4 linked regions of the Alligator mississippiensis genome follow. The protein of the gene in region 3 purifies or fractionates together with the protein of the main gene of each other region. This does not show direct contact. Links are inferred from orthologs where the notes say so. Each region holds a gene or a part of one and is shown on either strand. Other genes may lie near its edges. The genes, in order: SCAF1, DDX46, SRPK2 and C5H1orf35.

Evidence for each region.
Region 1: the proteins of SRPK2 (region 3) and SCAF1 purify together in Homo sapiens (affinity purification with mass spectrometry; 3 studies listed by BioGRID and IntAct, with this or other methods). This does not show direct contact. The link is inferred for Alligator mississippiensis from reciprocal best matches to the Homo sapiens genes SRPK2 and SCAF1.
Region 2: the proteins of SRPK2 (region 3) and DDX46 purify together in Homo sapiens (affinity purification with mass spectrometry; 4 studies listed by BioGRID and IntAct, with this or other methods). This does not show direct contact. The link is inferred for Alligator mississippiensis from reciprocal best matches to the Homo sapiens genes SRPK2 and DDX46.
Region 4: the proteins of SRPK2 (region 3) and C5H1orf35 purify together in Homo sapiens (affinity purification with mass spectrometry; 3 studies listed by BioGRID and IntAct, with this or other methods). This does not show direct contact. The link is inferred for Alligator mississippiensis from reciprocal best matches to the Homo sapiens genes SRPK2 and C1orf35.

The regions. Positions count from the first base shown.
Region 1 is NC_081828.1:40,051,046-40,057,984, forward strand, and holds the start of SCAF1 (splicing factor, arginine/serine-rich 19), read right to left. Parts: upstream 3,129-6,939; 5' UTR 2,589-3,128; intron 1,354-2,588; 5' UTR 1,333-1,353; coding exon 1,192-1,332; intron 991-1,191; coding exon 924-990; intron 724-923; coding exon 629-723; intron 1-628. Other genes in the region: RRAS (ras-related protein R-Ras), read left to right, coding at 4,557-4,820, 6,625-6,712.
Region 2 is NC_081832.1:70,515,153-70,523,085, reverse strand, and holds the start of DDX46 (probable ATP-dependent RNA helicase DDX46), read right to left. Parts: upstream 3,106-7,933; 5' UTR 3,012-3,105; coding exon 2,995-3,011; intron 593-2,994; coding exon 404-592; intron 2-403; coding exon 1-1. Other genes in the region: guided entry of tail-anchored proteins factor CAMLG, read right to left, coding at 6,015-6,206. UniProt on the Homo sapiens protein: Component of the 17S U2 SnRNP complex of the spliceosome, a large ribonucleoprotein complex that removes introns from transcribed pre-mRNAs.
Region 3 is NC_081827.1:26,456,766-26,464,407, forward strand, and holds the start of SRPK2 (SRSF protein kinase 2), read right to left. Parts: upstream 3,065-7,642; 5' UTR 2,952-3,064; coding exon 2,936-2,951; intron 2,840-2,935; exon of another isoform or gene 2,838-2,839; coding exon 2,753-2,837; intron 1-2,752. UniProt on the Homo sapiens protein: Serine/arginine-rich protein-specific kinase which specifically phosphorylates its substrates at serine residues located in regions rich in arginine/serine dipeptides, known as RS domains and is involved in the phosphorylation of SR splicing factors and the regulation of splicing.
Region 4 is NC_081828.1:214,164,757-214,172,402, reverse strand, and holds the start of C5H1orf35 (multiple myeloma tumor-associated protein 2), read right to left. Parts: upstream 3,074-7,646; 5' UTR 2,965-3,073; intron 2,012-2,964; 5' UTR 1,935-2,011; coding exon 1,841-1,934; intron 628-1,840; coding exon 477-627; intron 1-476. Other genes in the region: MRPL55 (large ribosomal subunit protein mL55), read right to left, coding at 4,319-4,468, 5,659-5,860, 6,287-6,312.

The sequences.
Region 1 (6,939 bases), on a different chromosome or scaffold from region 3:
GCCCTAGCACTCAGCTGGGGAACAGAGCAATAAAAGCTGGAACCCAGAGCTCCTCAGGGTCGCAGCGCATGCTGGGATGCATAGGCCACACATGCAGAATGGAAAGAACTGGGCACGGATCTCCCGTGGCTCTCCCAGGCCTCTGAATGACAGACCAAGGCATATCAAGGCCCCACGGATAGCTCACTCTGGTGAGAGAGAACAGGGGATTCTGGGACAGCTAGTCCTGATGGGAACAGATCCCTACACAGGAAAGCAGGGCATGCTAGGACATATAACCCAAACTCATATGATCCACTGGGAAGGAGCAGGGCATGCTGGGATACGTAGTCTCAAAACTCATCTTCCCCTTCCCCCCGCATCACACCCCATCCTTATCCCCTTCCTCCTCCCCACATTCACCCCCACCCTCCCCACACTTCTTACATTGCTCCCCTCAATATTCCCCCAGCACTTCCCTCACAACACCCAGCCTCTGTGCAACCCCCTCCTCTCCCATCACCCCCTCATGGCCCTACAGCTACCCCCCACCCCAGACTCCAAGTGAGATGGGATGCTTTATCCCCATAGTGCAACCCCCAGGCTAAGGGGGCAGGGCTACCAAGTGCCTGGAAGCAAGCCCACTCACCGTGGGATCCATGCTACCCCCCCTGGTTGCGCTGGGCCCCTCCATTCGGGGGCTCCGGCACCGTTTCTTTCGGCTCAGCCTCTTCCTCTTAAGATCTGCAAGAAAGATTGGTGTCACCTTGGCACTGGGCTACTCCATGTCCCCTCAGGGCCGCCTAATGTTGAGGGGGAGGGTGTAGGCAGGGCTGGATTTAAAGGGCTCTGCTCGCCTCCTACCCAAGGCAGTAGCACAACCAGTCTCCCCCTCCTCTTGATCCTATCCTTTACCAGCCCTGCAGTGAGGTCCCAGAAGATACCTTTCTTACTGGCCCGGTCCTGCCATTTGCCCTGGAAGCTGGAGCTCACCACTTGCTGTATGGCCTTCTGCAGAGAGAGGAAGGCACTTAGATGAAACTAGTGCTGGCAGGTCCTCAAAGGGGACTTTGGCTTTCCCCACAGCACTGCTCAGGAGCAAACCCAGGAGATCAGACCCAAGGAAATGTAAAGGAGCAACGGATGCTTAGATCAGTCAGGACTTCCCCCCCAGTTCAGCTCCCAGCAGCCAACAGGCAACAAGGACCTTACCATTATGACCTGGCCAGGGCAGAGGGGGCCTGGCTGGCTTAGCTCCCTGTCCGAGGGGGCACTAGCAGGGTGCCCCTGCTCCTCATTGCCCCCGGTTGGGTCCTCTCGTGTGGGGGGAGGGGAATTCTCTTCCTCTTCCATGGCGGCAGTATGGAGTGGAGCCTGCAGAACAGGGAGAAGAGTCAGTGCCAGCACTGGCACACACAAGGTCATCAGTGACCAAACCACTGTGTTCACTCTACCAAGGAGTCCTGGCTCTTAGCACGACCCCTTCCCCACAGCCTGGCAGCACCCCTACACTCCGCTCCCAGAGTCAGGTGAGAACCCAGGTGTCCTGGCTGTCCCAGTCTTCCAGTGCTGAAAGTGATTATCGGGGACAACCAGTCCCTCAGATACACAGGTTACATCTGACAAGTTCCCTGTGAGTGACCCTCTCCCAACTTGCAGCCCCCTGCCAGTGTCCTTCACTCCCAACCCACAGGCCCCTGTCAGCTCAGCCCTGCCACCCCCCAATGCCCCCAACCACTGTTGCCCCTGAGGCCCAGCCAGGGCCAGCCAACCCCTGAAAGAGTGCAGCAATTAATCCCTTCCTGTCCCACATCTTTTGCTGTTAGGCCACCAGCCAGGGGCTAGTGAGATAGAGCTGGTGGGGGGCACCAGAGGAGGCAATACCCACCCTCCAGAGCTGTGAGACTCTCAGCAGGCAAGAGGATGGCCATGCAGGAGTTCCCAGGGCCTCTGTGCCCAGCCGGGTCCTGTGAACCTGGTAGGGTCAGGGGGACCCCATGTCTTGGAGAGTGAGCCTGATATCAGCCTCTTTCTGCATGCATCCTCCTTTCTGCATCCCGGCCCAGCCCCCATGCCTGATCTGCTGTCCCTTGCCCCAGGCAGCCCCCCACACTGCACCTCAGTCACACTGATCCTGTCCCCCCCGCCGTCTTTCATTGCCCTCCCCAGCCCCCCTTCACTGCCCAATATTCCCCCAGCCCCCACAAGGTGTCTGTGACCCCCTCCCCCAGCAACTCCACAATGCCACTCCCTCTACCCCCAACTTACCCCTCCCCTCCACATAACACCCCTCACTGCCCCTCACTCCCCAGCTTTCCCCTGCTCCTCAAGCTGCCCCCTCCCCACCATGATGGCCGCACTGCCCCCCACCCCCCAACTGGACCCTCCCCCCACTTGGCCCCGCCCCCACCCCTTGGCTCCTCCCCCTTCTGGTCCCCAGCTTCTCCCCCCCCCCGCTCCCCTCTCCAGCCCCCTCCCCCCACTTGGCTCCGCCCCCGTCGTTACCTGCTGCGCGGCCCCCCCTCGGGGGCGTCCGCACGGGCCCCTCCTGCCCTCCTAATACAAAGGAAGCCGCCGTCCCAACCCGGCCGCCCCCGCCGCCATCTTACCCGATCGCCCTGCTCGGGCTCGGGCTCGGGCTCGGCCGCGGCGGCGGAGGCGGGGCTTGGCGGGGGCGCCGCGGGGGCCGACGGGAGCGGTAGTGTCGCTCCCCGCCCATCCCTTGGCGCCGGGCCGGGCCGGGCCGGGCCTCGGACTACAGCTCCCAGCCTGCCCCGCAGCGGGCGGGCGGGCAGGACCGGGCGCGACGCGAGGCATGCTGGGAGATGCAGTCCGCCTGGTACCAGCAGTGACTCAGGGGCCCGGCGGCGGCGGACTAGGCTTCCCAGAAGGAAGCGCGGTGGCGCGCGTTGCAAGGAGGGAACCGGGGGCGTCCGGACTGCGTATTCCAGCGTGCACCACGGCCGCGCGCCAGGCACCAGGGGACAGGTTGAGGGCCGGCGCCGGGAGACAGAAGTAAGCCCCTTCACATTCCTATCCCACAATGCCTTGCGGGTGGACGCGGCTTGCGGGAGATGTAGTTCTGGCGGCTGTGGCGGAGGGGTGACAAGGAATTCTTCGGCACCCGCCCGTTTTGACCCCCCGCGATAATGTCATCATAGTTGATCTGTGGCGTCACCCTCCCTGAATGAGGTTATCAGGCTGTCAGCCTCACTCTGAGGGCAATGTTTTCCATAGCACCGCTCCGTGCCCATATCACCCTGCTATGTCATGCCACGCTCTGACACCACCAGTCCTTCCCGCCTACATGGTCCCTCCCCAGGACGTTATAGTCACTCAGTTGCGTCGTTACCATCACCTCCATCACCCACAATTCCCCCGCCCCCCTCAATCCCCATCCCTTTGGCTGGTGGTGTAGCCGGCTCTATAGCAGCTTCTGCCCCTGGAGTTGGGGCACGTGGGTACTGTGCCGCAGTCGCTCAACACCCCCGCCCCGAGAAGCGTCAGGCAGGCCAGAGCCTGGGCCAGAGCAGTGCTGTGCCCCCATCCACCCGCACCTCCATTCCAGCCCCCACCCCCCAGGCACCAGGGGCTCCTATGGGTTGTGATCAGGCGGGCACCCCCAGCAAAACAGATTGGAAGAGAGAGGGAAACAGACAGCAGTTGGGGGCATTGGGCCAAGGAAAAGGGGAGAAGGGGTCAGTCCTGGCCCCGTAGCACATGGTTGGGGTAGGTGGAAGTGTTTCCTTCCTCTGGCCTAGGGAAGGGAATCAGTACCTGAGGAGAGGTCCAGAAGGGAATCAGAGAGATGGAGAGCAAGGCCAGGGGTGCAGCAACATCTTGCCCCCAGCACCATGGCACAGCCCTGGGCCCCTGCACCCCACAGCATTTCCTCCTGCTTTCCAGCATTGGAACATGCCACTCCCAGGGAGGGTGACCCATTCCCCCTAAATGCTGACCCCCTGAAAACCAACTGCCCCTACCGGCTCCCCAGATTCCCCCCCCCCAACCTTCCCCTCTCACTCCCAAGCTTCAATCCCACCCAGTCTCAGCCCCCTTCATCCCCCAACCCCCACCTATCCCCTCACTCAGAACTTCCTTCCAGGGCACCCTGAGCCATTTCCTAAATGCCCCCATGAACTCCAGGCAGCTGTGCCCTACTTTCTTTGGGAGCCCCCTAGGACAGGATGGGGGGTGGTAGAAGCCAGGACACCTGGGTTCCCTCCCCAGCTGCGGCTTGGGTGGGAATAAGAAGCCAGGACTCCTGGGTCCGGTTCCCCACTTAGGGTTAGATCCAGCACACCCGGGGGGGGGGGGGGGGGGCTAAGGGAGGGCACTGTTTGGCTACCCCCACCCCCATGCAAGCAGCCCCTCCCCCCCAGGCTGGAGGGGGCGGTGCCGAGGGGGGGAGGGGTAGTGAGTCAACTTCCTCTACACCACACATGAAAGGAATGCACTGAGGTCATAGCGCCCCCCCTTCCCCGCCCTGCCGGCGCGGCAGCCGCGGGGTCCTAGCGCCCGACCATAGCGTCAGCAGACGGGATCTGGATTGGGGGGTGGGGGGATTCAGAAGTGATATGGACATCCCACCGCAGCCCCAAACCCCAGGGGGAACCCAGGAGTCCGGGACCCCAGTCGCCTCGCAGAGCCGGGGAGAGAACGCAGGAGTCCTGGCTCCAAACATCCACCGCCCGCACCAGCTCCCACCCACTGGACTCCACTCCGCTACCAGATATGGGGCTAAACCCAGGAGTCCCGGCTCCCCACGCAAGCCCAGCAGATCTGCCGCCACCCGTCCCGGAATTGTGGGGGGGAGCCGACGGACGGACCCAGGTGTCCCGGTTCGAAACCCTCGCTGTCCTTCTGCTCGGGAAGATTTGGAAGAGAACCCAGGCATCTTGGCTCCAACCCCCACCACCAGATCTAACCCCCAAGACCCCACTCCCCACCCCAGGGCTGGCAGAGAACCCAGGCGTCCCGGCTCCAAGACCCCACTCCCCAGCTCGGGGCTGGTAGAGAACCCAGGCGTCCCGGCTCCTAGGAGTCTCGCTGCATCTATCCCCTTTTTGGGGTGCAGGGGGTTCCCCCCGTATGAGAAGCGATCGGGGTCCAACGGGACCCCGCGGGTGCCGCCCCCACCCCCATCTCGCCCCAAGCGCCATATAGGGAAGTGGATTTTTGTGAATCGCTCCAGGCTCCAGCTTCTGCACGGTTTCATTAGCATAGATTAGCATATAAGGCGGGGTCCCGGGCCGGGCTTGGGTTGGGGTGGGGTGGCTGGAGAGAGAGGGGGGAGCAGGGTGGTGGTGGTGGTGGTGTGTGTGTGGGGGGAGGGAGCCATATTCTAAGGGCAACACCTCCATGGCACAGTAGGGCCTGTGCTGGGGTAGGTGGGGGGGTCCCCAAGCCAAGCCAAGCCACTGCCTCCCCCCACACCCAGGAGTTCCCCCCCCCCCCCCCCCCGCAAGCCATGAATCCCAAGGACCCGGCGATGCCTCAGGAGAAGTACAAGCTGGTGGTGGTGGGAGGGGGTGGTGTGGGCAAGAGCGCACTCACCATCCAGTTCATCCAGGTAGGTGGGCACAGAGGGGGGTGAAGGCAGGGGTGGGGGAGAGAAGCTGGGGTTCACCCTGGATCTGTCTGCCCCCTCCATCTCCCAAGGTGCCCAAAGTTTCCACCCTGGGGAAAGTTTTGTGCTGTAGGCTGGAGTTGGGGGGGGGGGGCAGGGAGAGGGGTTTGGAGAGGGTAAGAGAGTGGGGGTAGGCTTATGGGTGGGGGGGGCTAAGAGGATTTGGAGGAGGGGGAGATAGGGTGGCTGGTTGTGGGGCATAGAAGGAAGGGTGGAAATGGGGGTCCTGGCCTAATGAAGAGGGAGAGGGGGTACAGGTCTGTGTTGGGGGGTGGAGTCAAGGGGGCCTGGCCTGGGGAGGGGCAATAGGTTGTGGGGGGGCTCAGCTGATTTGGGGGAGGGAGCTCTGGCTTGGGTTGAAAGAAAGAGGAGCCCAGTGTGGGGTTCTCTGGAGGGGCAGTCCCAGATTGAGGGGGGCCCACACCCACTCCTTCCACGCCAGCTGGAGAAATTTCCCCCACCCAAGGGCAGGGGGAGGCTGGAATTTGGGACCTGGGCAGAGGCAGCCCCACCCCATGCCACCCGCAGTGGGGAGGGGGGGCAGGCGTGGGAGGGCTGGGGGGAGGTGAGTGTAGGGGGTGGTGAACTGTTGCTGTATCTACATACACTTTGACCGAACATCCTGTTCACAAGAGGCTCCAAGGGAGGGGCCTGCCAGGGAGAAGGACGCCTGGGTTCTTTCCTTATAGCTTGGGGTGGGGAGTGCGATCTAGTAGTGTTGAGGTAGGGAAGGTGGAGGGACTGGGCTTCTGGGTCCTTTCCCTAGCTTGTGGAGGGAGCATGATCTATGTGTTGGGGTAGGGAAGGAGGGGGTGGGGAGGTGGGGCTGGGCTGCTGGGCTCCTGGACTCCTGGGTTCTTTCCCTAGCTTGGGGAAGGAAGCATGTCAGCATGATCTAGTAGTGGGTTGGGTTGGGCTGGGGTAGGGTAGGGAAGGGAAGGCAACAGGGAGCTGGTCTCCTGGGTTCTCTGTGGAAGTAACACCGTTGCCTCTTCCCTTCCCCCTGCCCCCCACAGTCCTACTTTGTCTCTGACTATGACCCTACCATCGAGGACTCATACACTAAGATCTGCAACATTGATGGCATCCCCACCCGGCTGGACAGTGAGTGCTGGGTGGGTGGGCCTGCCTTGCCCCTGCTATGGGGCTGTGTGCTGGCTCCTACCAGTCCAGAGCAGGGGACTGAGAGCCAGGATGTCTGGGTTCTATCACAGCTCTTGGAGGGCAGTGGGGATCCAATGGATTGGAGCAGGGGTCACTGGGAGCTAGAGTACCTGGGTCTTATCCATAGCTCTGGCCGTGGGGTCTGGTGGGTTGCCAGGACACCTGGG
Region 2 (7,933 bases), on a different chromosome or scaffold from region 3:
TCTGCCGCAGGAGAAAAAAGTGTTTTATTTAGCATTCCATACACATGGCTGTCATTTTTTTTTTAAATATAAAAACAAACTTGTGTTGGGGAAAACATGACATAAGTTGGCCTGTTAAGAAGTGGGGGGAAGGAAAAATCATTTTCGTCAGTGCCCTGCCAAAGGAAGCTAAGAACCATGAAGGCCAGAAACAGAGTTACAAAATCCAGCTACAGTATACTTTTCCACTGGGTGATAAACTTAACCTGTGTGACACGTACTAGCCAACGCTTTACCTAATTTCACACCTGCCAGAGGCACCCATGACAAGTAACCACAGCAAGTGGAACATCACAGGTAGAACATCCCACACAGAAGGGCAGATACTTTGATTCACTTTCTTAAGACGTACTGCAACGTGTACCTTGGGCGCTTCCTCTCCCGTGACCTTGATCTCCTCTTGTCCCTGCTGCGTGACCTCTCACGCCGACGTTCTCGATCTCTGCTTCTAGAACGTCTGTCTTCTCCGCGTTTTGCTCTTTTGTCGGATGGAGAACGACTCCTGGAGCGGCTGCCAGAACGTCCCCGTGAAGCAGAGCGCTTCCGATAGTGCCTATGTTGTGGTAAGTGCACAAAATCAAGTCAAGATTCACAGGAGAACAAGTTAGAGGCATCTGCTGCATTTAGAACCGGGTCCTCTCTAGGGAAAGAACCAATTTTTAAAAAGGCTTTACTGCCCCTGCAAAACTGAACTAATGAACACATGTACTCCTCTGAAGTGATGGAAATGACTGGATTCCCTTGAAAGAGTTCTTACGAGATGGCATTGACAGAGCACAGCTCCTAATTGCAGCAGAGTTCCAAGAAGCATTTACTGGTGGTCCATCCATTTTGGTATATAAAAGATTAAAATTGCACATAATCATGCCTCTTGTGTCAGAGTTGACTGTGTAGTTTTGTAAAGACGTTAGACAATGGATTTGTATAGGATAGTTTGGATAGGGATGATCCTGCCTCAGGCAGGGGATTGGCCTAGATGACCTCTGGAGGTCCCTTCCAGCCCCACTTCCCTATGATCTGTAAGGTTTGGGCAGTCCTGCTCAGCTTATATAAATACCTCTATCCAAATACATTAAGTCTTAGTTCCACAGAGCTGCTATCAAACTCTATGAAAACTATCATATGCTAGCAAGAGCATCTGTGGTTTGATGGGCAGAGCATAGGGCTGGAGTCAGACTTGGACTGTATTTTTCTCAGTTACTGACAGGCTGTGACCTAGAGCGAGTCAATTCACCCGTCTCCGCCTGCAAGGTTTTGCCCGCTTAGATTCTAAACGCTCCAAAATACGGACCGTCTCTCCATAAAACACAGCCCAGATCTGGGTTGGGACCCCTGTAATAAAACAGCAATCACTCAGACCAGAGCCTGCTTCAAGGTGTAAACCTTAACAGAGAAGCACGAGCATAGCAGAGCAGTCCGTGGCAAATATCTCTTATCCGAGGACTTGAAAATGCTTGCACTTTTATAATCTTACACAAGAGCAGAGGTAGGAATCACTGCACCCACTGCAGAAATGCAGATACCCACGGGGGTGTCTGTACTGTTTCAACTGTGGGTAGCAGAGACGCAGCTAACCTAACTTGTGTACCTGCAGCGGTCTCACCATGCAAGCGGTGAATACTCACCCCATTCAGCGGTGAGTATTCGACCAATACCACTCCCTTAGCTAGCTACTTAAAGTTATCTCAGGCACTGGAGCACCAACTGAAGCGAAGACATAGCTAACCTGCAAACAGCGCTGTACAGTCAGTCCTCAACTTACAACGTTTCGAGTCACAACGTTTCGCACTTACAACCTTTATAAATTGACACCCTATTTCAACTTTCTGACCCCAGTTTCAACTTACAACGCTTGATTCGACGCGACGCCAAGCCAGCAAACAAGTTCGCGGTGTCACCTATCTCCCTGGAGAACATCTGTCCAAACTTCCTTGGACACTTTCTTTAAGAAAGCAAAACCCTGCACCAAGACCCCGGAGGAGACTCCAGCCAAGAGCCCTTCAGACAGTCCAGCAAAGTCACCTCAAAGAAGTCCTTCCAAATCAATATGATTGCTATTTACATTGATGTAGCTATATTACTCATCTATAATTGACAGAATACAAAATTTTGGGTTATTTTTGATGAAAATAAGGTATCCTTGGTTCAGGAACCAATCCTCCATTTATAACATTGTTTCCTATCGGAAAAAAATCAGTTCCGAGTCACAACATTTCGACTTAAGACACGGTTTTCAGGAACCAGTCGTGTCCGAGGATCGCCTGTAACACTAGGCAGGAGTTCAAAGCAAACAGTAAAGCACTGAAATCAAATGGATTTAGACAGCATGTAGCTGCTTACATTTTTGCCAGGAAAGAAGGATTAGCGCTCCGGTCGCCAGGGGTATACAAAATGAATTCCCCTCCAAGGTGTGCGACCTTGGAAAGCCCGGCTTCCCCACCCGCGCGCCTGCCTCGCACCCACACGCAGGCTTGTCGCGGCTCACGGCTGCAAAGCGGTATTTCAAGAGGCCGGATGGAGCGAGAGCAGCGAGGTGCGCCAGCCTTGCAGGGCAGCACCCACACGAAGATCCATGGCTGCTCAGGAAGTGTCGTTTAAAAGAGGGGAAAGAAGCGGCGGACCCGCAGCCAGCCCGAGGAGGAGGAGGAGGACCCGGCCCCGCTCAGGGATGTCACCTCCTGGCTCAGTGGCAGGGACGGCGGCGGCGGGGCCCTCACGAGGTCACACCTCGGCTCCGCGCGGGACCGTGCCCAACCGCCGTGTCCTTAAAACATTTCCGAGAATGACCCCCCCCCCGCCCCGGGCAGGTCGTTTCCCCTCAGATCCGGGCCCGGCCCCTGTGGGCCGACAGCGGCCTGCCCCGGCCGGAGAAGTGGGTCTCGCAGCGGCGCGGGGGCTGAGCCCGGAGAGGGGGGGGAGCGGGCGGCAAGGCCCCGGCGGGAGGAGCCGCCTCACCTGGACTCGCGGCCCATGGCGGCGGCGGCGGCGTTGGCCCGGGATCGGGTGCGCGGGCTCTAGGCGGCCGCCATTCCGCGCGGCGGGCAGAGGGGCGGCGCGCGGGGCCCGGACAGGCCTGCGCCGCGCGCGCCCCCTGGCGGCCGGAGGCCGGCAGCGCAGGGACAGCGGGCTTCTCCCCCCCACCTGCAGCCAGCTGTGCGTGCGGGCCCGGCCCCGCCCCGCCCCGCCCCCCCGGGACACGCGACCCGCCCCCGCTTCGCAGCGGGCTGCTGGCGGGGCCGGGGTCTGCGGGCGGACGGTCCCCCAGGAGCCCCCTCAAAACAGACGTGAAACAAAGGAGCGAGCGCATCCCTCCCCCACCCCCACCCCCGAGCAAATCAAACCTTGACTGAGAGTAACAAATGCCGTTTTAATAAATTTAATAGAAAACAACCGCTGTAGAAATAAACGTCCGATACATTTATGTGCGCGAGCAAAGGGGGAGGGGCGGCGGGGGTGCAAATCGAAGGTGGGACGAAGGAGATCCGTTTCTGGATCGCGCGTGAAGTCCGAGGGCTTCGTTCAAGTCTTGAGAGCCGAGGACACAGGCAACCCCTGGTGCTACCTGCTCCTGTCCCGACAACGTATCCTTTCCGCTCAAAAGCTCCACCTTATATTTCAGGGGTGGCGGCTGGAGTCGCGTCGGTCTCCGGACATCGGCAGACAAGGTCCCTTGGGTGAATACATCTTTTATATTCACCCAAAGACCCTTGTCGGCCTATTGTATTTCAGGCCGCTTGGGAAAGGATCTGCTCAGCCATTTCACAGTTAAAGGAATGCAAAAAGAGCAGGGCAGAACGCCAAAATAAACACAAGTATAAATCAAAATGCTTTTTTAAGCTTAGTAAAGAAGGGGGGGCCCTTTAAAAGGTGATGTAATATTAATAACCAGTGCTTTTTCTGCACCCTCCCTAGTGCTACCTGCAACACTTGCTAATTCGGATAAATAATCCTGAAAGTTGTGTCTCATTTCTGAGAATAATCTTCACATTTCAACCGTAGCTAAAATCTCAGCTGTCAGCATCTGCTGAAATTGTGTCCCAACCATTCCTGCCAGTGGACCTAAATCAGGTTGTCATTCCCCCCCCCAATCTATCCTTAAACATCTACACTGAGATGTTGACGCAAAAAGTAACCGCAGTACAAAGCAATCTTCCATAATTTAGAACACAAGTTTCTTGCTTCAGACATAGAGCAGAGGTCTGATCGTGGGTTCAGGAGCGCAACAACGTCATATTGCAGAATATTTTAAAAGGGGAAAACAATTAAGCAGAAAAGCAGAGTCTTGTTTACTTCAGAAACACAAAACCAGATTAAACAGGAGGCAAAACCATTAGCAACATAACCAGGCATCCCCTCCCAATTGAAAATCTGGTGTCAGTCTACTTCACCTGGATGCTTCAAATAAATAATACACAGAAGACAACAGGTTAAGGGTAACACCAGGTTCAGATGCAGTAGCAGCAAATATCCAAATATGGGTAATGGGAAAGGTTGGCTGATGGAGATCCCTCCTCAAAGTCTGTTCCAGTTTACACCATCCCACTAAGGCCAAATTTCTGCTGGACTGGGGACAGTGCTACCCTCTCTCCCCTAGAGAGCAGAAGGCATCTGCTGTGGGAGCCCCCCCATCCCTCACTGCTTCTACATCTGCTCCAGAAAAGGTGTCAGTTTCCACCCCCTCCTTCCACAGGACACATTGATCTTCTTATGGAAATCAACTCAAAATAACATGGTGATAAGAAGTCTTGTTCCCTTGCCTGTTTCAGTACTTAGGATTTGAATAAGCATGCCTATTGTGGCTTATTTGGAGGGACTTCAAACCAAAATGTAGAAGAGAGGAATTAGCAAGTCAGTTAACATATAAATAGCTCTGCTGAATGCTAACCAAGGGTTCTATTTAGGCTATTGAGCAGCAGCACTATTAAGCAGCAGGAGCAGAACTCCTAAGCAATTAAGGCCCTGTTTACATGCAAATGTCTTTTTCTATAAACAGAGGGAAAGAAACAGAATATAGATGTCAGTTAAAATTGTTTTAAACACCCTTGCAAAGATCCAGGAAGAAAAAAATCCCCTTGTTAACTAAAAGTTGAATAAAACTGCTATATTTGATGCCTATTGAAGTAACTGCTTGAGAGAATGGGGTGCCTGAGTGCAGCTTTCACTGTAGAAAATGAACTGTCTAAAGAAGAAGAGCGCAAGTAGGGTGTACATGAAAGCCGGGGTAAAATTAGGGCTAGAATTAAAGAGCTTATGGAAACATTTGAGACCAGCAGCACACGTGCCTTCTTGCTTCACAATTAATGGCATTTGTACGCCAACAGGATTTATTTCACTCTAGAATCCTCTCTTGAAGTCCGTCACCGGCACAACAAATAATTTATGGCACCAAGAGAGGATGAGGGCTCCAAGCCACAGGACAATGAAGAGGCATGTGTCGCCCAACCCTACTGCAAAAGCCACAGGCTTTTTTATTCAGCATTCAGAGTCTGAACACTGGAACGTAAGGATTCATTTTATATTAGTCATGGATTTCTTTTAAACATGGAAGCAACACCAGAAGAGCAGTCCTTACGTGTATCCAGTCACAAAGTGTACACATATGGGCTTCGTGAAAGCACATTTGTGCTCTCACACTGCAGAGCCAAAAGGGAGCAGCAATTCAAGTGATGTCAGGGGTGGAGGAAGAAGGATGTCTTCTAGTTAAACAAGTAAAGGAAATCAATCACTGACACTTGCACTCTATTCTTCACATTTGCCATGTGCAGAAACAATAGCTGAATACACTGTACTAAGACCACTCCCACCCTGAAACCCTGTTTATCCATTCACAAATGAGCGACTTTAAGATGCCTGTCAAGCATTCCAACAGACAAGAATTAAATTAAAGGTCTAAACCAGTTTGCATATCCACAGATGTTACAGGAATACAGAATGCAAAAAATGTGTGTAACTGCTACTTTGAGGTCTACAAGCCCTCACGGTGCATCAGAACCAAAAAACACCAGCAGTTCATGGCAGAAAATAAAAGTAAAGAAGTAGACACAAAGATCTGTGAAGACATCTCCCATTTTGCTATAGGTGTCCATGGAGCGACTAATCACTTCTGCTGGGATCCCCGACAATAAAAGAGCAGCAGTTAATACCGTAGTTTTCACTTTCTTCTCGCACTGAAAAAAAAAGAACAAAACAAAAGAGTAGTGATTACTGAGTGTATGAAGAGTCATAACTTCTAAATACATTTTAAATCCAATGAGTTTCTCTGGGGGCTCCCTCCTACTATGAGTGACAAGTCAACATTTGAAGTTAACATCATCGTGTGAATCGCTGACAAATGTGTGTGAATTCATGTTCTGATGGTCTCTTAATCAGCTGTCTACAAAAGGTTCACCAGTGCAGTTAGGCCAGGATAGACATGTTGCAAACCATCTCACATCCACACTGGTTTCTTCTGTAAAGAACTGTATTTTTGCCAGTATAGCTTTAAAATATATAGATAACTTCTGGACATATATGCATGCACACACTTTTGTGGAAGGCCAGGTAGGGATGCTTTGTGTAGGCTGTTTTTGTGCCATAGAATGGGCTATTCATTTTGTTATGGACCATGGTTTTAGTTATGTCAAGGGACCTATACCTTTGAATTGATATCCCATTGCATTTAAAACACATTTTTATGACTGCAGTGTTCACCTATGTGACATTTCAAAGTGATCTGAATTAGAACAGTTTAGTACCACAACTACGCATTATATGAAAAGGTAAATCATTTATGAATGTTAAGACAGTCATAATCATCAATGAATTTTAACAAAATAATGAAATGGATACTAGTAACAGAATAACCTGAGTAAACAAACAAAGTCAGGGCACTCCACATTAAAAATTAGAGAATTTTTAACGGAAGAAAAGGAATTCAGCCATCTCCTCTCAAGACTCCCTACGGAAGCTTTACTTTCGACTAGCCCAGACACAGGCAGGCCAGCCTGAGGTTTAAAGTCCCATTGGAACATAGAGTATACAGGTAACTACCATTTGCTTTCAATTCAGAGACTCACCTCTGAAATATAAAGGTTGAATAACTGATTTTGAGAAACACAGAAACTAAGAGAAAAGCTCTAGCTAGCAGACAACCTAGTGCAGGTGATCTGAGGCCAGTACCCTGGTACGCTGTCTGGTAACTTGTGCAGACCACTAAAGAATAATTACTTGAAAGTTCACTGTTTTTACTTACATATTTACTACTCTCACTCATTCCTACTTGCTACACTGACTCGGCTATTCCTTTTAACATGTAAATATTCTCTTTCAACTATGGCTGTGAAGTACTTAATTCTGCCTGACTTTACAAAGCAGACTGACAAAACCATCAAGCAAGCAGTTGCTTCTTTACAATTAACTTGTGATACGATCCCATTAATATAAAGCAGGAGATATAATCCCGCCATGTTGAGAAGCAGAAAGTAACAGGCATAAATAAAAATCGCCACATTTCAAACTTCTCTAAAACTGAGTTCAGGGCAGCAAAGGTCAAGGACCCATTTCACTGAGAGGGAAACATTCTGTTTGGTCAAACATGACATGAACAGTGCCTATGGATGGAGCCTAAAAACAGCAACTGCACAGAAGTACAGTGTAAATGGAAGGCAAAATCCTACCAAATCAAAGAAAAATCTAGCCAGCTTTCCCAAGTAAATGCTTCCTACTGGGCTATAGCTAAATATTAAGTAAGCACAAAAATCAGACACAAAACTAATTTTCATCCAAGACTTTTAAGAACATTTGGATTCAGGTCCTCCAAGATTAAAAGCTAGGGTATTAAGTGCCTTTCACTTCAAACAAAAGGGAGCCAAAGTCTCATACTGCGAGTGATACCTATTGAACCTGACTCTGTTTG
Region 3 (7,642 bases):
TTTCAAAGTAAATGGTTACAATCCCAGATGCTTTCCCAGCATGAGATTTTTGCAAGTCTCAGTTAACAGAGGAACCAACATATACAGTACTTTAACAGACACATTCATTTCTTTACAGTATAAGATTTACTGTACATTGAATGGATTCCACAAAAACTTTTGGCATCGGCTTTATTCATCAACACATTAAAAATATAAACATTAGATGAAGAGGTGTCTCAGATATTCAAACATATCAGAAGCTACAAATTACATATATTAAAACTGAAATATAATTACTTTCTGTAAAATATAATCTATGTATGTATGAAGACCATTACACATACCCAATAAGAAAAAGGAAGGGGAGAGGAAGGGAAATCAACAACAGGCTAGATCAGTTTTTAGACTGATATGGGGGAGCCTAATGGGGAAGCCTAATTTTTCAAAGTAGGGGCATGAAGTTACCCTGATTAGCTAATTTTAGATATCCAAGTTTTTAAAATGTTTGAGCTTAATACATTGCAGAACTGTATGGTCTTTCAGGCTGGCAATGAAGACAAAATGATGAAGGCTTATCCAAAGCACCACAACTCAGAAGACAACTATTTATCAATTTTACTCATAGGACCCACTGTCTCATGTTGACACCATATTCTGAGTAAATACACAAAAATGACACTAGGTGGCCCAGACAGGTTTGCTCACTGTAGGATAACAAAAGTGACAATACTGACAAATGGCAGCAACATACCATTTTCTAGGTACGTGTATACATAAAATCAAGTTATACAATATAGATAAGCCCAAGAATATATTAATTGTCTGGATATTTTTTGTCACAAGAAAAGCTGTATCATTTCCACCCATGCACAGGAGGGAAATATAGGTACTTTATTTTCCCTGGCAATTGTATTCCTCACCACCGCAAGAAAATAACAGCATGATCAGCCTTCCCTTGCATTGTAGTATTGCACAAACACTTCAATCAGTTGAGCTCCAATATGTTACATGCTGTAAAAAACAAAAACAACAAACAGCAAACAACAAAAAACCACATCTGCAAGCAAATTTGATTGAGGGGACGAGGAAAGGCACGGGGGAGGAGGCAAAAAAACAAAAAAAAAAAAATATGTTTTTCTCCTGGCTTCTGCATTAACTCTAAAGTTCAAGTCTGCATGTAGACAAGAGCCAAAAGTAAGTGAGCTACCTTTTCCAGGGCTGTGCTCTGGAATACCAAGGAAAGAATAGCAAACCAGCATGTTTACTACAAAGCAAGTATGTCTCTGAACACAGCCTGTGTGCAGAGATCTGTTCATTTCCCATACTACTTTTCAAAGGGTAGACCTGCAGTTTAACTGGTACAACTTCTGTGTGCAACTGTCTTAACAGCTTTGATTAATCCTTTGCCTAACAGACTAGGGCTGATAAAAAGCAACTTGTATACATCACATGGTAAATCCATGTATTTTTCTCAGAACCAAATATCTGGCATAACTTGCCAATAGTAGCACTACATAATGCTTTTCTAGCCATCTCTGCAACTGAGGCTCAACCACCAACCTTTGTAGGATTTCACAGACTTCATCATGATCGAAGTCATAACATGGACCCCTCCTTACAACAATCGCTTACCTTCTTACTTCTTCCCCTTCCTTCCTCCCTAGACCAATCACTTACATTCTACTTCTCCACACCACAAAATCTTAGGAGATCTTTTCTGCTAGCTCTCATTATCAACTGAAAGGATCTACATCTGGCAAGCACTAAGCGCCCTTCACACCCTTACATTAACTATTGAGATGATGAAAACTAAACAAAAAAAAAAAACGTGGAGGTAAAAGTTCTTGCTTTGTTCAGTTTGTGCGACTACCTTAATAAGCGATGCAACCAGTCTGCCAATAAGTTACAATGCAAAGAATTCTACCAGGCAATCATGCAATTCCCTTGAAGCAGACTGTTAATGGGAGCAGTGGATGTTGGTTGCTGTGCTGACCCTTCCTGCCGTGACTGAAGGATAGTACCCCAGCAGAAATAAAGTTCAAATGATAACATTAGAGTCAGAAGCAAACAAGCAGGTGTCTACTCTGAATACCAACCTTGGAGGATTAAAAGCTAAAAACAACCCTGACTTTTCATGATTTTGTTCTGTTCCTCTCACGTTTTTCTTTGTCGCTCAAGAGCAGCATGAGACAGCAGTGTCTGGCTTCAAAACAAAGCAGGGGAACCTAAACCTTTGTTTTGTTTTGTTTTGTTAAGGCTGATTTTCTTTCTAATCCAATCGAATACCAATGTCAATTAAATTTTGGCCACAGATCATTCCTTATATCATTCAGAAGAGCGACACATCTCAGACTCCCGCGCAAAGATCTGAGCGTTTGGGACAGTCAGACAGACGAGGAGGAGAGAAAGCAGAAGAAACCGAGGAGCCAGCAGGCCAAAAAAAAAAAGAAAGGGGGGGGGGTCTTCTGTGGCCCAGGCACCCGACACCTTGCTGCCACCGTTTCCTGAGGCAACCAAAAGCTGGGCGCCGGCTCTGGAAGTGCCAACTCCGCGGGGCAAGGGGCCAGCACTCACTCGCCTGAGGGGCGCTGGGCACTTGTCTCCCCCAAGCCCCTTCCCCTTCCCCTGCCGAGGTGCGCGGGGCCCCGAGCCCTGAGGGCGCTGTGGGAGGAGCCCGGGCCGCGGGCCCCGCTCCTCAAGGAAACTTTCCCAGGCCGGAGCGACCCCCGGCGCCCGAGCGCGGCGGGACACCCCGCGGCCCCGCACTCACTTCTTGTGCTGCGCCGGCTGCTTGTCCCTCCGCGCCGCCGCCACGGGCTGCTTGGGCCGCCGCCTCCGGGCCTGCAGCGCCAACACTGGGGAGACACGGGCGGGTTAGTGCGGGGGGGGAGGGGGAGCGGCCCCGGCCCCTGCCCCTGCCCCGGCCCCTGCCCCACGACCGGCCCCACGGTACCTTTGCGGGAGCTCATCGCTCTGCGCCGCTGGGCCAGGCCCGGCGCACGAGCGGAGCCGGAGCCGAGGCTGGAGGCGGAGGAGCAGGCGGTGGGAGCGCCGGGCACGGACAGCAGCCCCGCGAGCGCTGCGCAGGCGCGGCAGCCGGCACCGGGGCGGGGCGGGGGCTGCGCTGGCGCCTCCTGCCCCCGGCCTGGGAGCGCGGCGGGGGTGGAGGTGGGGGCGCGGGTCCTGCTCGCATCGCTGGGGACCTCGCGCGTGGGAGTGCCGCGCCGGGCGGGAGGCCGAGCCCCCGGGAGCCTCCAGCCGGCGCCTTCCCCGGGCGTCCCCCGGCCCGGGCGGGCAGGACGAGCGCTGCGCACGTGGTGCCCCGCTGTTTCTGCTCGGATCGGGGAGCCCACCCTGAAGCAGCCTTTCTCAACCCCTGGGCCCAACATCTAGGAAAGGGGGGCAAGCAAAGTTTTTGGAAACGGATCCACACGCTGTAAAAGTGGATTCTCTTTTAAAGGAGGAAAAGTTTATCGGGGTGCTCGCCGGGATCTGGATCTGTTCACCCCAAGGAAGGGGTGACAAGGTCGAAGGGTTATAAACTCCTGCAAGACCATTTCAGGCCCGACACAAGGAAGAATTTCCTTCCTGTCCGAGCCCCCAACGCCTGGACTAGCCTGCCGCCAGGGGTGGTTCAAGCACCTACTTTGAATGCCTTCAAGAGACATTTGGACATTTATCTTAATGGGATCCTATGGCCCCAGCTGACTTCCTGTCCCGGGGGGGGGGGGCTGGACTCCATGATCTTCCGAGGTCCCTTCCAGCCCTAATGTCTATTCAATCTATGAGAAAGGCGGGGGACCCGTGGGTTTTCTCTCCCAGGCTGGCACAGTTCCCACCTGCAAGGGGCTGCCTGGGACCCCTGTGCACTTGCCCTCCCTACCCCACATGCCCACACACTGAGGGGCACTGGGTTGGGACTGGCCATCAACCTTTACAAATGGGTCCTGGTTAGGGTGGCCATTTGTCCAGTTTTATACAGGAGAGTCTGGTTTTCTGGTCCTCCGTTGATAGGAAAACCAAGTGCCTTTACGTTCTCTATTTTTCATCACTCAACACCACCCCCTCCCTGCTGCCAACACCACGGTGACCACCTACGGGAGCTCCCTTCTTGGCCTGACCCCACTGCAGACACCGCTACCACTGCCTGCAGGAGCTCACCACTCGCCACTACCCCCACCGCCAACACCGCTGCCTGCGGGACCTCACTGTGCCCTCCAGCCTCGGGAGGCGCACCACGTTTGTGGTAGTGGGGACATCTATTTTTGAGGTACCTCGTGGCCACCCTCGTCCTGGTACAAAAAAGGTTGAGAACTGCTGCTGTAGAGAAGAAAGGGCACACGGGCTTCTTAGCCCACAACTCCCATGAGGCACCACCGCGGCATTTCTGAATATAAACATTCAGCGAAAGAGAAAAACCCAAAACTCAGCATTCTCCAGGAGCATAATAAGCTTTTCAGTCAGTTCTACTGCTTGAGTATAGGTGATCTACTGCACCAGTGCATTAGGCATCTTCGGGCAGGTGAGGTTCTTTGGGTAAATCCAATATCTTTTATTAGACCAACTCAAATAGTTGACAAAATTCTTCTTTGCAAGCTTTCAGGTACAAATACGCTTTGTCAGGCTGAGGAAGCATTAGGCACACAAGATGATAGGAAGGTGTTGTCAGCCAGTGTTCATTGGTTCAGTAGGTCAAGTGCTTGAACACGGTGCTGCAACCCAGAAGGCTCAATGTTCAGACACTACAAGTGCATGAGGGTGGGAGATTATGGATGTGGTGCATAATATAGTCTTAAAAATGGCACATGTTTGTTATAAGAAGTCAAACACTGAGCACTTAGAGTATTTAAAACTTCCAGTTTTAAATTCTCGGTGCTCCAGTACTCTTCCTTGTATATCCGTTTAGGGTCCCCTTTTGGAGTTCTGCCTCATTCCTGAAATACCTCATGCAGTATAGCTCAAAAAGCTTCTGGTAATGGACAACAACCAGGTGCCTGCTAACAAACAGACGAGCTGCCCTCAATAATGTCACCTGTGTTTACTAACATTTTGCCAATATTAGTAAAATCTAAAGGAGTCCCTCCTGTGACCCTCTTTTTCTTTCTTCTGAAAAGTTTCCACACTTTTTGGACACTTATTCGAACATTCCCCCCTGACACTCCTCAGTGTCAGTAAAGCAAGGTTTCTCCCCACATTTCTTGGTGAATGTTTATACAATACTAAATAGTAGTGAGAAGCCTCTAGATGTAGATTGATGCCATGTTGTTAACTCCTGGATATTGATTTTAAGTCGTCTTTGTTGTTTTTCTTAAAGCCTCTGGATTCATTCAATTAGGATTTCAGGTTTAATTTTAAAAGTCTATTTCAATATACTTCTGCACACCTCATGGTTGCAGTGAATAACATCAAATTGCTAAGACTCCAATACCAAAAGGCAAAGAAAAAGAACCACTAATGTATTTATTATTGCTTTAAATTTAATCATTCTGAAGAGAATAACACACATGCTTTTAATGCTTGAGGACACTGCAGTTAGAAAGTACTGTAATTACCAAAGTTTAACACAATTGTTTCAAGCTTACAAAGCGGCTGGGTGACTAACAGATATACATATTATATGCAAAGGAGGCCTGGCCCCTCTAATCAGGCTTAGAAAGGTCAGGGAAGTCCTTTCAGGGGTGATTGTAGGATATTTCAGTCATAGATCAGGGGGCCCAATCATACTTTCAGCTGTTCATGAGCACTCCCATTTATTTCAGTGGGGTTGGGTATGGGACAATTGGGTCTTAGATGTGCAGCTACAAAGGGCTTTACTCATATGAACAGAGTGATAAAGTGATTGCCAAATCTGGAGTCAGGAAGGAATTTCCCTCAAGGGTATAATGTCAGCAATATAAGCAGCATGAGAGAAGTATCTGGTATTGCACAGAGAAGGAATTATTTCTTAGGATTAGGTGGGTGTTTATTATACAATCAATTTATTCCTGTTCCAAGGAAATGGACTGCATTTTTCCTGTTCTGTCTTTCTATTTTCTGAAGAGGCTACTCAAAAGATCTGTGTAATATGCTCACACAGAAAGATAATAAAATAAATGGGAAAGTCTTTACACATGCACAAAGGATTCTTATGTGCACTTATCTAAATTAGTAGGTAAATATAATAGCTGTACAATCTAAACACAAAGGATGTTGAGATGATGACGAGGGCCCTAGTTTTGCAAATGCTTAAGCATGTGTAAAATGATACTTATGGAAGTAGTTCAGCTGTATCAAAGGGACTGCTCACATAAAGTAGTTATAAAGTGTTTGCTAGGATTAGGGCCTACATTTGGAAATGACAGAGAAAGGAGGCCAAAAATATTAGATTAAATTTCAGACAAGGTAAAATGGTATTAAAAATTACTTATAGGGCTAGCCTGAACACAAATGTGTACAGAAATAATTACATGTATGTTTTAATTAACTTATTTTGCTACTTCAGTGCAAGTGTATATATGCTTCCTTTTCCTTCCATCCTATTTTGTTACCTTAAAAGAATGTTTTTAAATTAAATACTGCGCTCAAAAGGATGCACAGACTGGAATGAAGTATTTGTAACAAATAGATAAAGTAAATTTGCAACAATGGGATATAACAGGATTACTTTCCCCTTCACTGGCTGCCTTTCCTTGAACAGAGTATCTGCAACAGAGGTGTCTGGTTTTGCTGGATTATCAAGGAGTTCATTTGCTGTAGGGACCAAGTTTCTAGGCTCAGGTGGTTTGACTTGCCCAATTAGTAGGGACAATAGAAGGCAAGAGTTATTCTTTCATTTTGCGTGGCTGTGAACGCAAATGGGAATGGAAAGGAGAAACATACAAGCTGTGAGCTGACATTTTACCTGTTTATTATTATGCTCTACAGTGCAGTTTAGACCTGACCTCAAAAAAGTCTTAGTTGTTTCCTTTTCACTTGACCTAGAAATATGTTCCTTACATAGGAGGTTTCAGCTACTCTTATGGAAATTGGGATGCATTTTTAAGGAAAAAAAAAAACAAATCTAGCAGTGGTCTTGTAAATATGGTGATGTCTGCTTCTTTTCTGAGGATAATAGAAACCACTTCTTGAGCAAAGGGATCCTTGAAGACTTTGGCCTGCAGTTCTAATTTATGTTCCTGTTTATCTCTGTACTGCTTTTCTCAGTGGGCAATATTATGCTCTATGAACCACATGTTCCCAAAAATCAGGATGTTAGCCAATTTCACCAACATGCTGCTGCTCTTGCACAGAATGGAACTAACAACAAAGAACGCAGTGGGGAGGAAAAGAGAATACAGGGGTTGTGAAAAGGAAAAATAATACAGAAAAGGAGAATTTGCTAAAGATAGCAGAGTTCTTTGTAGCATTCAAGTACCACTCTCTTCCTCGCCTCAATGCTTTCTTCCTTTCTCTTTATTTCCCATATCCATTCCATGTTTCTTAACAGTTTGATATATTTGTGCACATACACTGAAAAAGAGTCTGTTTGTTTATTGTTCGTTTGAAATTATTTTTGGGGGGCCGGATTTCCTGGCTACACACTTGCTGGTTTATATAGCTTTGTAAACAAATGAGAGGGGACAATTCTTAGCTTGATTTTTTTTTTTGATAACACCATGACAAACCTGCAGGTAGGAAGTAT
Region 4 (7,646 bases), on a different chromosome or scaffold from region 3:
CCCTCTCCTGTCCAGCAGATTCTGCTTCATCGCATATTGGTTATTCACACATTTCGCTTATTTGCCTACTTTCTCATAGGACAAAAACCATTTGCTCTCTCTTCAATTAGATTTTACTTGCATAGCAGCTTTGGGCACATTTTTGGTTTGCTGCATAAGCCAAAGCTAGAAAAAGAAAGGCTAGAATCAGTTCATTCAGGGGTATCAAATAAACGGCCTGGGAGCTGGACCCACTTTATCTAGGGAGAACTGCCCGAGGCAGAAGCCTGGTAGATGTGGCAATGAGTAGCAGGAAGGCAAACGAGGGCTGACACCTTCCCTCCCTACAGACTAAACACCCACGGAGGAGGGTGGGGCGGAAAGTCGAGGCGACTTCCCAGGCTGCGACAACCAATTCACAACCAGAAACGCGTAGTGGAGAACGCAGCTCTGAGTGTGTGGAAGTCACCAGTGCAATACATCCCCCCTGAACTTACAGTGCTGCCATCATGGCCTCCTGTTCGGCCAGCCGGACAGCAGCCAACTCTTCTTCCCGGGACATCTGCACGCCCTCCTTCTTCCCCTTCGCATACCATGTGAGGTCCTTCCCCTTCTGCCACCTTCCCACCGGAGCCATGAGGGAATTCCCTGCCGCAGAAAACGAGAGAGGCCGTCAGCAGAACCAGAACATCCGGCCTGTAAAGACGTCCCTGCCCAGGCAGCAGAACAGAGTCAGATCCATGACTCGGGTCACGTGGGGACCAATCCACTGGGATCAGAGACCTGGGTTCAGACCACTGACCTGCCACATAACCCTGGCTAAGTCACTTCATCTCTCCGCCTCAGCTTCTCCACAAAGAGGGTAGATGCTGTGACCCCCATGGGAAGCGCTCTGGCACATGAGCAAAGAGCTCTACAAGAACCACCCAGCTCCTGCCCTTAGCCAGGCCCAGGGCATCCTGCAGAGGCACCTGTCTGAAGCTGCAAATCTATTCAGCAATATATCCCAACCTCGAAGTTTCCAGTAACAGGTCACTGGGATGGCTCAGGAACCTCCCCTGTAATAGAAACCCAACACAATACCTGAATAACTTACGTTTATATAGCATTGTTCGCCACTAAGGATCCACAAAGGGCTTTGTAACTCTATATATGCCGCTGCACTGAAAAGCAGCCAAATCTAGGGTGGAGCGTGGCAACCACGTGACACACGAGCGCCCTCACAGATGGCAGAAAAAGGTTGTGTTGGCAACAGGACAAGCCACTAAGCTTCTAAGAGTGGCATTTTATGAACAGGCAACATGTGAGAGCCCATCTGTGCAGTATTTGTATGGCAACTTTGTACTGCTGCAGCCCCCGAAGTGTTTTAGCAGCGTGATTGACAGCCTAAGCCAGATTCGCTTTGCTCACCGATGCTCAGACACCTCTTTGCTTCCTAAGGGAAATGGGACATTCTCCAAACAGTCTTGCTAAAGCAGCTCTTCCCTTTAAGCCCACCACAGATGGCCAGGCTCAGCGTGGAAGGCCTGGAGTAGAGTTCCCAGGCCTGTGTTTTGTAGGGCAGACTGGGCGATCGCAGCGGACCCACACCAGCCTCAAAGACCTGCAGTGGCCTGTTCAAAGCACCAAGTGCTTGCAAGGTGAGGCAAAGAGCAGAACCCTTTTCAGCCAACGTGAACACCACGAAGAAACACCCCAGCAAGGCAGCGAAGCCTGCAAATGCAGCCAGAACAGCGGTCCCAAGGTGGCCGAGACTTGGGGGTCTTGCGGATACTCACCAGCCGCCAGGGCTGCTGGTCAGGCTGTGACAGAGCGCTGGATTCCCCCAAGGGCTGTAAATAATCATGGGATCTCCCCTTACCCAGATAGTTCTCCCGCTGCTTATCCGTCTTCACATCCTCCCAGTTGAACTGGTCCTGTCCCCCCCTCACACCTCCGCGGGATGAGCCGAACATGGCGGGAACGGCCAGCAGCGATGGGCGAATCAGAGATCACCGCCAGGTGCCCAGATGCTCAACCCAAGGCACTGCATCTAGAAGACAAGCAGGAGGATTACAAGCCCCAGCCCAGCCTCAGCATCCTCTGTGAGGAGCAAAAGGCTAGTTTCCCTAGGAAAAAAAAGCCACCCCAGATAACAAGCCACACTCCCTGCACCTTGCACGGGGGCTGCCTGCTCCTACACCAGAGCATTTCAGCGACTGGTCCGTGCCTGGGTCAGGTACCAGGAGGAGTAAATGAGCGTGTTCTTCCCCTGCCCGCTCCCCTCCCTCCATACGCCGAAGTGGCTGAAGTTGGCCGCTGCGAGCAAAGATTTCTAGGGAGAGCTTTCTGCAACAAGGGGCCTGGCCCCGGGCTCACTCTGGCAGGAAAGTCTCCCCCTGAGCTGAACCCAGCCCTCTGAGGCCAGCCAGCCTCACCCCAGCCCTGCAGAAGTGCTCAAGTGAGACATCCCAGGCCTTCCACCGCCACGACACGAGACGCCGCGTGTCGCAGGACACAGAGGTCACGCAGCACACCCAACTCGTGGTCCTCCGAACACCGCATCCTTCCACTACCCGGCTCCAGCTTCGGGAGGGGCAAGCTACCCCACCCCCCAGTGCCCTGCGGGGCTTTTTGTGGGTGCACATGAGAAAGGCAACCTCTCCCTGCGCCCTGGGGCAACGGGCTCATGCCCCGAAGTGCCAACTTGGATCCCCCTCGCGCGTTTTTACACAGCAGCACCGTGCACACACCAGCACGCTGCTCCCCCCAGCCCCAGAGCTCCCCAGCAGATCAGGGCACTACAGAGAGACAAGGGCCAAGCTCCACTTCCCTCCCACCCCCTGCAGGATCATTGCCCTGCATCCCTGCTGGAAGGGGGAACAACCCAGGAGGGTGATCAGCTGCTGGGGGCTTTCCTGCCGGGCCCGGGGGGGGAATCAGAGCAAACACACGCGCGATAGAGACAGCTCCCCCCGCCCAGCCCAGCCCCACTCCCCTGCCTACCCGCAAGGCGCTGCCCGCAGCCGCAGCCCCCGGACCGCCCCGCCCCCACGTGCTCCGAACGCCTGCACCAATGTTGCAAGCGGCTTCCGGCTGGTTCGGAGCATACCACGGCGCTCCGCCTGCGGGGGGGATAGAATGGAGCAACCCGGAAAGAAGCGCGGCGCCCGCCTGCCATTGGCTGGGCACAGAGCGCGCCCCCCCCCGCCCTTCGGAGAATGCGGCCGCCCGGACGTGCCATTGTCTCGGGGGATTTAACCCTTTCCCTGGCGGCGGGGAGCAGGCGCAGCGTGCTCGTCTCCTCTGTGACCTAGAAGCTGCGCTCGTGCACCAAGTAAGGGCTTGTTGCCTGGGAAACGTGGGCGGCTCCTGGAGCTCTTAAGCCCTGGGTTGTCCACACGGTAACACCCTGGAGCCTCCTTATGCGGCTTAAAGTTACGCCACTCCCAGCAGGATGCTTTCTGATCCGCACAACCCAGCTCCTGTCCCGTTAAGGGGTGGCTCAAGTTGAAGTCCTCCAGTATCCCAGGATCTCTTGCACTGCCACACATAGAAGCCCGTCCTGGCTCACCCGCCTGCTAGTGGGAACTTGCAGCTGCAGCTCCTAGCCCTGCTCCTGCTCACCCGCTGGCATCACGTTTTCCCTAGAGGCTGCTATATTTAGCAGTAGGGAAAACCATTTCCCCGTTTCGCTGTGGCTTTGAAATCTCCCGAGATGAAAGGCTCCAAGCAGCCCTGGAACATCCTGCCCTCATACAGAGCAGTGCATCCCAAACACCCATTTCAAACCACCCCTATGGCTTCCAGTACCTCCTAAGTACAAGATAAGGTTATCGCTCAGCCATGGTTGATCCTGGGAGTGGCAGACTAAGAGAGTTTTCACCTTTTTAAATGATCCATAGGCAGCAAGGTCAGTCTCAAAAACAGGGCTAGTACGATTTTACAGACTCTGAGGGCAGTTGGGATGCTTCAGCCCAGGTCCTAGTTAATTGATTCCTCAACCCACAAAGCCACCAGTACAGGGGCACCAGCTGGCACCTTTTTTGGTTAGCTCAGCAGAAAAACCAAAGACTGAATGCTTCAGGGAGAATGAACTTTCCCGTCATTCCTTAACGTATTGTGGTTTTTTGTCATTGCCCATCCAGCCGATCAGCAGATAAACAGAGACCTTCAGTCTCCAGGGTGGTACCTTTCAAACACACACGCACACACACACACACACACAATAGGAGCACAAGCAGTTACGGGGTAAAGGATCTTTACTCATGTAAAAACCACCACCCTAGAAGATTGTGTTAGTCTCCTTCGGCACAGTCCCAAATCCTCAGACCTCCTCGCAGATCCTCCGAACAAGCCCTCATTTTTTCTTCCAGAATTGCTTGTAACGATCCATATTAAAGTCATCCTCAAGCAGTCTCTCCTGCGTGACTTGGAGCTTGTTGCGATCACGTTTCCTTAACCGGGCTCTTCTTTCAGCCTCAGGAAGAGTGTTGAGGTCTACAGGCATCTGAGAAGGAAAGGGGGAGGGGGGATAGAAAAAAAAATTAATCAACAACAGAACAAAGAGAAGCAGGTCGATCTAGAACAGAGCTCCAAGGACTCTGTCGTGTCCGAAAGGAGAAAGGCAAGATGTGATCAAGAGATTTTGCTCCAAAAAAATCAATGGCCACGCAGTTTTCTAGAACGCTGCAAGTTGGATCTCACTGCCCGAAGCGGGCTTGTTGGTTTGAGAAGGATGCACAAGTCACTCTGCATTCATCTGTTACCCAAGGGATTTAAGGAGGCATTAGTGCAGGCGTGGGCAAAATACAGCTCGTGAGCCAGATCTGGCCCACCAGCTGATTGGATCCAGCCTGTGAGGGGTGACCCCCAATTGATTGGATCCAGCCTGTGGCTGCCCCTGTGGTACTCCACATGGAGCCAAGCCTGGTGCAGGGCAGCCAGCAATGCACTTCTGCCTGCACCCGCCAACCCCAGGCAGTGCACACAGCTTCCAGGAGGACTGCTCCTGATGCCTGGAAGCCATCACCTCCAGCAGCGGCTCCTCCTGCTCTCGCTGCAGTGGACCTGGTGGAAGGCAGCTGGGAGCCAAAGCCCCGCATGCTGGGGCAGGAGCTGCCTGGTTGCAGCTTCTCCCCTGCTGGGAACAGTACAGCAGGGAGAGGTGTTGCCACTGGAGGTGAAGGGAGCTGCCACACTAGAAGAAGTCCTGCTACTAAGCTGTGCCTGCTGGCCAGGGCCAGGATGGTGGGTGCAGGTGGGAGCACAGCACAGCACAGGCTGCCTGTGTAGGCTCAGCCCCATGCAGAGTCGGAGAGTAGTAGCTATGGACTGCACCGCCCGGGCAAGCTCTGCTGCATACATCCCCTGCTCACCCCCTTCCAGCTCCCAGGACCTAGCACCCATGCAGCTTCCCCCACCCTGTACATGCCCCCCCAGCAGATCGCCCATCTCACTCCCTGCCCACAGCCCCATCCCACATAGGGAGTTTTGGTAAGTTGTTGTGCAGGGGCGGAGGGGGTGGGTCTGATGACCCAACCTGCGACAGCTCATCAAAACTCTTTATGTGGCCCACAGACCCAAATAATTGCCCACCCCTGCATTAGCGAAAGCTTCCACCTATCCAACTAGTTGCTGTTTGGGCAACTTTCTTTCTCCAACAGCTCTACAGAAGAAAGAGCTCTGGCTCAGCCTTACCGTCAGAATCCACCTCGGCTCCTTATAGCGAATGTGAACGGTCGATCCATCAGGCCTGATCAGGAGAACTGGGTAGACCCTGCCGTAGGTCTGTCTCCGTAAGCTAGCAATGGCAGTCCTGTTGGAGTTGTGCTGGCTGGGGGTTGCGTGCAGACTGCAGATCGTGGGGAGCGGCCGCTGGATCAGATCTCGCCGTAACAAGCTATTAAAGGAATTCAAACAGGGCAGGGTTGATGATCTTCCCTACACTCCTTCAGGAGAAAGAGCTCATGGGCCTGCCCTCAAGCACCACGTAAGAATAGTCTGTCGTATGCTAGAGAGGGAGAAAACCTGAAGTCCCAAGGAATGGCACTTGAACCACAAACCTGGTCCTGAGGGGGATTTTTTCCTTAACCACCTTGACAATCAGGTTATCTCCTAATACAAGAGACTTGGTTTCAATGTGCAACTCAAGTGAATGCTCCTACGGACCCTGTCCTAACAATAAACACAAGCACAATTTGTGGCTTGATCTTCTGAAGTGCCAAATGCCTTCTGCAAGCAGCTGGGGGCCAGCATCTCTGTTCAGAGATCATGCAAGATGAGTCCTCAAATCAGCCAACCTGCCAGATGCGAGTGCAAAGCTTACCTCAGGCTCCTGCTTACTGCTGCCATGCTGGTCCTGGCAATGACTGCAGAAAAGAAGGGGCGCAAATGGATGAGGCACGTGCCTGCAAAACCCAGTCAGATCTCTCTTCGACTCTACTCCATGAAGTTCCTCAGGGCAGTGATGGGATTTCTACACTACCTCTTGGGACGCGCTCTCCTTGTTGACGATAACCTGATGACCAAAGAGACCAAAAGGAGATGGCTTAAGCCAAGCGATATTTCCTTAATTCTTCACTTGGATCACTTAAAACTTAAAAAAGGACGAAACAAAACCCACCCACCCCCGGTGCGTCTCTGAGTTAACATTTCCTTTAGCCTTCTAGAAAGCACTGCAAGATGACAAGCTGGAGAAAGGGATTGCTCTGAGTGGTCAGACTCACCTCTCTCCCTGAAGAATGGCAGAAGCAGGAGCGTTCATCTCAGGGCAGGCCAATTTGTGCTCTGCCTTCCCTGATTTTTCAGCTAGCAATGGGGTAAAAATCAACTAAAACAGAGACCCAGGGTGCAGAGGGGCAGACAGGACAGTGCAAGCAAGCATCCAGCATACTGGCAGTGACACCTGATGTGAGCAGCACCTCTTAGCAGCAACATTGCCCCTGGAAACATACCCTGGACAGTACTGCGTGCTCAGAGGACCCTCCACGTAACAGCAACAGCCCCTCAGAGCAATGCAGAACCAGGGCACTGGCACGTGGCTACTAGCAGGCGCTATTTCTAGTGGCCGTTGTGTGGCAACACTTCTCAGTGGCAACCAACCAGTAGCTCCCAACTCCTCTCATAGGCCAAGGATGGGTACAAAGCTCTGGATAGCAGGGAAATGCAGGCAGCTGCCTGAAGCCTCCTGTCCTCCGTCAGGAGAAAACTGCTGTGGGTCTGAGCCCATGATCAGCATCTCATCACAGCTGTGGGGCGCGAGATGATCCCGGGTCATGTTCATCCCTGGCCAAACCCCTCTGAAGTGCGAGACCACAGTTGCACATGTCCCGTGTCTGGCACGCGGTCATCTTCCAGCCGTTCAGGTTTGCACGGCGCCAGCCCCAGGATGCGAGAGGCAAACGCCTCCGCAGCTGGCAGAGACCTTGCCCCAAACCTGCCACATCACATCTGTAGGACAGGCTCAGGGGTGCTCCTGCACACAAGGCCGTAGGACCGTGATGGCTTTTTGCCGGCCTCATTCGGGAAGCCCTAAGTCATGGGGTTCCTGCCTGCCTGTGCCAAGCCCCCGGGGCATTACTGCAGCAGGCGAGGGGAGCCACGGCAGACACTTCCCGCAGCCCCAAGTGCCCTGAACTGCCCTGTGTCACACCGCAGGGAGCCAGGGGCAGACCCAGGTCCAGGAG